Xenopus tropicalis: one gene and its partner. Each later gene encodes a partner of the first gene's protein in a complex. Links are inferred from orthologs where the notes say so. Each region holds a gene or a part of one and is shown on either strand. Other genes may lie near its edges.

Region 1 (3,834 bases):
CTTAATGTCCTATGTATATTGATAATGGGTGAGTGCAGAGGGGCTCTTATTGTTGTCTATATGAATTTTGTTGTCATAGGCTCATTGCACCCCTGCCCAATGGTTTAAAATTTAGTGGTGAGCACAACTTTCCCTTTTTTTGCTATGTTTTTAATAAGTCTCTGTATTTACATGAATGTATTTACAAACTTTTGCAGGTAAATTAAAACTACACCACATTCTATGTTGTTCTGTCAACCAAGCTAGAGTTGCAGAAGACCTCTTGTTTTTGTCCTTATTAAAAAAAACATACTGTATCTTTAGTGAACTGTATATTGAATATATATAAATGGTTTAGTGGACAACCTTCGTGTTGCCTTTAAGTGTCAGTATAACTAGAAATTCTCCACAACTAAGTACATGTATTTACAAAAACGCATTCAGATTTAAGTTTCTAGGACTAAATCATTTATGAATAGTATGTGAAATATCAATATTGGCAGATCAGCATGCTATATTGTCCTATTCAGAAAAAAATGTCAGAAATCATTATATTTTAGACTTCCACGTATGAATACCCATTTGAAATCTAATTGATTTTCCCTTGAATATTGTTAAGTGTCTAAATTATTAAAACCAAATCAAGATTCAGTTTTGTATGTATACTGGAGAGTTAAAAGCCTTTTTCTAGCCGGGAATGAATGCCACCTGGGGCTTCTAATTCAATTTTTATATGTATTAAAAAGTTACATGTACTCTAAGTAAAACGACTGTAGGAATAACTATAAACTACTAAAATATTTTTCTAATTGCATGCATGCATTTATATACATATGTACAGTTTCTATTTATTATTGTAGTGCTCCTTGTGATGTACATTTTAATAGTACAAACATTGCAGTAATTATAAAAATAAATATAAAAAGCTACAAAGCTTACATCCCATGTGTTAAGATAAAAAGAAGAAAGGAGGACTCTTCTTCTTCTTTTAATGGGCTGGAGGGAACTTCTAGCCACAAATGGATAGATAGCTATGATGACTGAGACATTGCCCCATAAATGTAAAGACTGATACAATGCTAGTGTTCCAAGAGGTAGATTTCAGGACTAAGGTATTCAAGGGCAGAATCCCATAGGTAAGGGGCAGCAAGAGAAAAAGGTTTGAAATGGCATTGGATGTTGGTGGTGTGGAAGAAGAAGGCTCTGAGAGGAATGGAGGAGATGCACCAAGAAACAATGTAGACACGTAAAGTGATAAAGTGAGTTGTAGAGGAGTTAAACAGAATTGTACAGCTATACAGTGTTAGCAGGATGTATTTTGTAAGTCATTCTTTGCTTAAAGGGGCCATAATAAACATGTTAGCAGCAGGTTTTGTTTTAGGTGAGAGGAAGCTGACTGTAGCAGAAGAGTACAGAGTATTCTGAATCATCAAGATTATTAAGCTTGCCAACAGTAATATCAACTTCACCCTACTTCTCACACTGGATGTACTGGCAAGGGCACTTGCATATGGGTGAAGAGTGCAGTTGATCTACACAGGGACTGGGGGCACTCCAATGTTTTTGCATTGCATGCTAATAGGTCTAGTTTTACCCTTATCAATGAACATAGTGTTTGGGAACAGCATCTATGAATAACCCCCCATATTCTTCCTCAGTGCAGCATTTTACCCCAGAATTCTTGCTGCATTGTGATTTTTCAGTTGCAGGTGCACTGATCCTGTTGAAACTAGCACTAAGGGCACCCTGGAGCTACCTCTTGGTCAGTAGGTGGCAGTAGACCCTGGGTTCCCTTGCATCAATAGGCACAGTCGAGTGTAAGGAAGGCAGGAAGGACTGAGCAATGCCAATCACAACTATACAGAAGTGCGAGAAGCACCCTTAATGAAAGATGTTTTTACATGCAACTATCTGCAGGGGAATTGCTGGGCTGCTTTGTGGTTGTACATGAACTCTGTAGTTTAATAGAAACAAGACGTGCACTTATACAAGCAGTAAATGTATATAGATCTTTTTGTAGGTATCAGTACAACAAGCATTAGGCATAATGGGCATTGTTATATTCTAGTGTGGGACTAAATCAATCATTATGTTTCCTGCTTCTGTTTGTTGTTTTCTCAGATTTTATGTGCTTAAAAAGTAGACTTTCTATCTCTTTTCTACTTTCAACAACTAATCTCTCTCCCTCATCTTTCTTCATTAATAAACCGAACCATTGCCTCTAGCACTTGCTTTGCTTTGTAATGATTTATGCTACCCCCCCATAAGGATTAACATCACAAGATACTAATTACAATGGTATTTATGGCATACTTTTACTTACAAATCTGTATGTTGTTATGTATAATAATTGTCTGACCAGATGGTAATGTCAAATATAAAGATGCTCAGGCTGTCATCAGTTACAAACATATTGCATGAGTGAAAGCAAAGAGCCAACCCATATGCATACTCAATACTTTTAATGAATGTGTCACACAAGATCCAGACATTAGAAATGGCCTGTAATGAATGAAAGGAAACTAAAGTCACAGTCTTAACATATATTGGAAGCAGGAAAATGACAAGCATATGTGCCTTCTCTATAATTATCTGACCTTAATTGAATGCACACAAAGCAAGGTGCTTATTGAATGCCATGCTCTTTACATTTGTGTATAATAATTGATAGTATAATAGGTATGAACATAATTTTGAACATAACGTTTTCTGTTTCATGTATCACATGTTAATAATCATTGTTCTTTTTTCCTATTTTATACAGACAGCACAGACTGTGCTTGTTGTGGTTGTGGTATTTGGAATCTCCTGGCTTCCTCATCATGTGATCCATTTGTGGGTAGAATATGGAAGCTTTCCTCTCACCCAAGCCTCTTTTGTCTTCAGAATAGTTGCCCACTGTCTCGCATATAGCAACTCTTCAGTGAACCCTATCATTTACGCTTTCCTCTCCGAAAATTTCCGAAAGGCCTACAAGCAGGTATTTAAGTGCCAGATTGGTTGCGACTCCAACCAGAGTGATGCGAAAGAAATAAAAAGCAAGTTGGACACTCCACCATCAACGAACTGCACTCATGTCTGACCCAAATGAATGCCATACGCTAAAACCAAGTGCACGGTTTGGAAGCACAAATTCATCCAATCAAACTACAAGTACTTAGTCTCATTGTACAGTACATCAGTAGGTGGTGATTGCTTCAGTCATTTTCTACATCCCCTCAAAGCTATAGGTTACATTAGGTGGGAAACCAAAGACTGGCACTCTTGATAACCATGTGCATAGGAGAGAGATCTCTGTTGCTTTTAAACTGTATCATATATTATTTTAAGTCATGCAGTGTACAATGTGTGCATGTTTATCATGTGTTTTCCATGCTGGAATGCAAATATGGGATTTTTAAATATGCTAATTATATGTATATATAAACACACACTTTTAAAATATTTGCGCTGCTGGAAAAGGAAAATGTATAGACAATAATGTACCCCTATTGTAATAATGTAAGGATATTAGATATTCTATGGTCATATGAGGCCTCAATCCTTTCTGTGGATCTTGGAACTTGGAGTGGACTTCTAATATTGTCCTATTTTACAACATAGGGATACTTTTTTTAATATAATGCAAAAGCTATTTCACTCAGCACTGTTTATAGGGATATAGTTTACAGGTTATCTGTGGCTCTTGTGTATTGTAAGCATATAAATAAAAACTTTTCTGAAAATGTAAAAAATAGTGGCAAAAATGTGAACACACACACAAATTCATCAGTATATCATAATAAAGCTTCTAAAAGTTTGTATATACTATCTGTGCTTTCCAGCTGCATAGTACACAACAGGAAGGATTTTATA
Region 2 (3,834 bases), on another chromosome or scaffold:
TCCAGATCCTTTAAACAATATTATAAACTTACACATTCCCATAGAAGTGTGAAATGTAAAGGAAATCCAAGTCCTGACAAGATATAGCTTCTCTCTCAGTACTGACTAGGGATAACCTTGGGGTGTTGCTCTTGATCATGGTTAATCTGGAGATGTTCTTCAGGTGTTTCTTATGGGCCATGTCATACTATGCTTCCTTGTTTATTAGACCCATCCCTTTCTGAGGGATTTTATTAGCAAAACTGTGAGAGGCGATAAAGATAGCTGATGTGTGCCAGCCTAAAACAATATCAGCTTAAAAATTACTAACTGGGGTATTAATAAGTTCAATATAAATATTTATTATTTATATTTATTACATATCTATACTTCAAAAACTATCTCAATGCAGCAAGGCAAACACACTGCCCATGGCATAATACAGATATGGGTGTAAAAATTGTTATTGAAAAATCACTTTTTTTTCTTTTTATGAAAAAAAAACAATCTTTTCAATTTCAACCCCTCCAAACCTACATACCTATGCACACCTGTGCATACACTCAAATCCATAATTATGTATATATACATATAGAGAACTAACTGTAGACTTGAATATTATGCTCTTCCAAGAAGACATCCAAGCCACTCTCAAAGAGCTGTACAACATTAAACCTCATTTGCTAGTTTGCTGGTATGGAACTTGTGTTATTCTGCACAATTTGGTATCATCAGCAAAAATAGTGACAGTAAATACAATGCCAATCTCGAGGTTATTTAAGGGAAATACCATGGGCATCTTTGAGACACCCCTATAAAAAACCTGGTCAAATTAGAAAATGTTTTCTAATTTACCACCAGTTTTTGTAATTTATCCTTCAGCCAGTTCTCTATACAAGCACAAATAGTATGTTTTTGGTGAGTATCCCTTATCTTAGTAAGTAACCATCTGCTTTAGGGCTCTGGTACACGGGGAGATTAGTCGCCCGCGGCAAAACTCCCTGCTCGCGGGCGACTAATCTCCCCGTGTACCAGAGCCCTTAGCAAAACCTAAATAGAAAATATCCACTGTCTCCCCAATTTCTAATCTTCTAGGCTAGCCACTGATGTCAAACTAACAGGCCTATAGTTTTTAGAACAAGAACAGGTTCCCCATTGAACAATAGAAACACATAAGCAATTCGCTAGTCTCTTTGTACAACACCAGATATCAAAGAACCCTGGGAGATTAGTAGAGTGTCTTAAGTAATTACAGAGCTGAACCCTTTTACTACCCTGGGATGAATTCCATCAGGTCCTGGACCTTTACATTATTATAAGTCTCTTTTGAACTTCTTACTCAGTCAACCAGCCATTGATTTGTGTTTATTATCCATCAGTCCATCAGTTGTGTAAACAGATAAAATAACAGATTAAAATATCTTCTTTTTCCCTGCTCCCATCAACTAATTTACCCCCCTCTGATACCAAGGGTCTCACCACATCTTGCTACATTTTTTTTACCATTTATATATTTTAAAAAGTATGGGATTTTTATTGGCTCTGGCCTGTTAACACATATCAGACAGGCCTTATTAAAATCAGGGACAAATGGAATATAGAATGTTTCAAATAAAAAATGTTAATGTCAGTTAAATACATAAACAATCGTAATATTTTTTTTCAGATGCAAAAGTGCAACTGTCTGCTATTGGTATCTCTAGTCCTGTGTGCTACAATCTCACAGACATTCGGACTAGTTTTAACAGTAAGTTCAATTTGTGATATATTGTGGTGCATGTGTGCATGTCTCCATCCTTACTGCATTTCTTCCTTGTTGTATATGTGTAGTTCCACTTATTAAACAAAGAATTTATTTTCAGATATTGATACAATAGACCCCCGAGAAATAAAGTCCCCTTTACTAAGCAAAGTTAAGGGGCACCACAAGAAAATATTCTGAAAGGTTTATTAAACTTACCTCAGTGAGGACCCACATCAGATGACCAATAATTTTGGGCTTCCAAACAGCTGCTATCACTACTGGCCATATTATTAGGCCCTGGCTTTTGAAAGTAAAACTGATTACACACAGGAGCAATGAGATCAGCTTGGTTAGTCCATAGGCAATAACGCTACAGGGAAGCAGCTGAAAGAAGGTACTGTACAGTATGTACATGATTTCAACAGGTAACCAATCACAGGTAAAGTTAGACCAAAATATTCTGTATAGACAAGCCAAATTTTAACTGGACATGCCTTGGACTAAACTTCTATCTGCTCTGTTATGGCTGGAATGAGATTATAAAACTGTTAAAGGAGGACCTTTAATAAATTCAGCTACTAAGATAAGATAAGGCTGCAAAAATACATTATACATAGGGCTTACTATAGCTGTTCAGCACAACAGCAACTTTATAACAGTTATGAATTATATCTCTGCATCTGTTCTATAAAGCTTTTCTCTTTTCCATGATAGTAGACCATTCCACTAGTGTATTCTTAAGGGTCGCACATTCAACTTGGAACATTTTGCAGATCATTCAATAAGTTAATACTTGTAGGACACAATATATATCCTTTGTAATAAGGAAAGTGTATTTAGGTGTATATAGGTAACATGTAATCTGGCAACCTAACAAAGAGCAGGTAAACCATTCCATTTGTTTAGGAATGAGCAGCTATAAAGTAAGCATAAGTGGTTTGGGTGCTTTAACCTGTATTCCTGGCACTAACTATAGCTGTTATGTTTAGAGGCTCAGCAGAAATAAAGCCCTGGTTAACACTGCAGTTTAACTGACTGACTGGAGAGTAGCTTAAAACAAGGGCATAATAGAGGAGACAACAGACCCTGAGGCTGCAGAGAAGGGCCAGCTGGAAAATGGCTCATAGGGGTCAGTATCTGACAAACATACAACTCCATATATGTGCCCCCCCCCCATAGGACCATGTGAGTTAACTGACTCTATATCTATACTGTCTTTATGCTGGGGACGGTACCAATAGTAACATGCTGAAATATTGACCACAGATGAAACGCTGCATGTTGTTTAACCCAAATCCTGCATTTCAGTGAAGTCCCTTGGGTACAAATCTCATACAGAAAAATGGATTCAGTTAACTCATAAAAGCCAGTTGATGGGAATGCAATAGAGAAATACCGTGAGCAAGGGCACACACAAAGGGGCAGATTTATCAGAATATGAGATTAGAGCTCAGCACAGAAAAATTAACCTACTTTCTTTTCATTCCTATGGGCTCTTTAGAAGCATATTTATTTGGGTAAACATTAGAGTTCACAATTTGTTAAATAAGCTTCTAAAAATCCCGTAGGAATGAATAGAAACTAGCTATGTCATTGTAATTGAATGCAACGGGTGAATGGGCTTTTCTACACAATGAAATTGTTGTGTTTTTTTCTTTGTTTCCCTTGGGCACACAGCTATTCATATTGTGACATATGATACAAACATCTTATATTTTTTTATTACTGCTTTTTTGCTATATGTGTAGTATAATACAACCAACGTATTAATTTAAAGATTTCAATATTTCGCATAACAGGGAAAAGAAAAGCGTGGCTGGACGCTGAACAGTGCGGGATACCTTCTAGGGCCACGTAAGTGCTTAAACCCTATATACTCCACTGTATGTTTCAATGTAAAGCTTCACAGTTATCTCCGAAACTACAGTAGATGAATTAAAGTCTGATGAGCCACTGAGAGCAAAGAACAGAAAGAGTATATAGACTTAACCTGTGTTTGGGCTTTAGTGTAAATTTGCAAGTGAAATTAGAATGTAAGCTCCTCTGGCCCAAAAACTAATGAACAAAATGGATTAATCCATGTGTATGCTATCTGATATGTTGGTGCTACT

What was found.
Region 2: the proteins of galr1 (region 1) and galanin peptides are in contact, whole or in part, in a cryo-EM structure (PDB 7WQ3), measured with the Homo sapiens proteins. The link is inferred for Xenopus tropicalis from reciprocal best matches to the Homo sapiens genes GALR1 and GAL. Residues at the interface, in NP_001471.2 of Homo sapiens: Glu32, Gln92, Thr94, Val95, Tyr96, Leu98, Pro99, Thr100, His112, Gln174, Phe177, Arg180, Gln184, Phe186, Cys187, Trp188, Glu189, Gln190, Ile266, His267, Ala270, Phe275, Leu277, Ser281, Phe282, Arg285; in NP_057057.2 of Homo sapiens: Gly33, Trp34, Leu36, Asn37, Ser38, Gly40, Tyr41, Leu42, Leu43, Gly44, Pro45, Val48.

Annotation. Positions count from the first base shown.
Region 1 is NC_030682.2:98,601,528-98,605,361, reverse strand, and holds the end of galr1 (galanin receptor type 1), read left to right. Parts: intron 1-2,743; coding exon 2,744-3,061; 3' UTR 3,062-3,702; downstream 3,703-3,834. UniProt on the Homo sapiens protein: Receptor for the hormone galanin. The activity of this receptor is mediated by G proteins that inhibit adenylate cyclase activity.
Region 2 is NC_030680.2:37,077,234-37,081,067, reverse strand, and holds part of galanin peptides, read left to right. Parts: intron 1-1,645; coding exon 1,646-1,726; intron 1,727-3,522; coding exon 3,523-3,577; intron 3,578-3,834. UniProt on the Homo sapiens protein: Endocrine hormone of the central and peripheral nervous systems that binds and activates the G protein-coupled receptors GALR1, GALR2, and GALR3.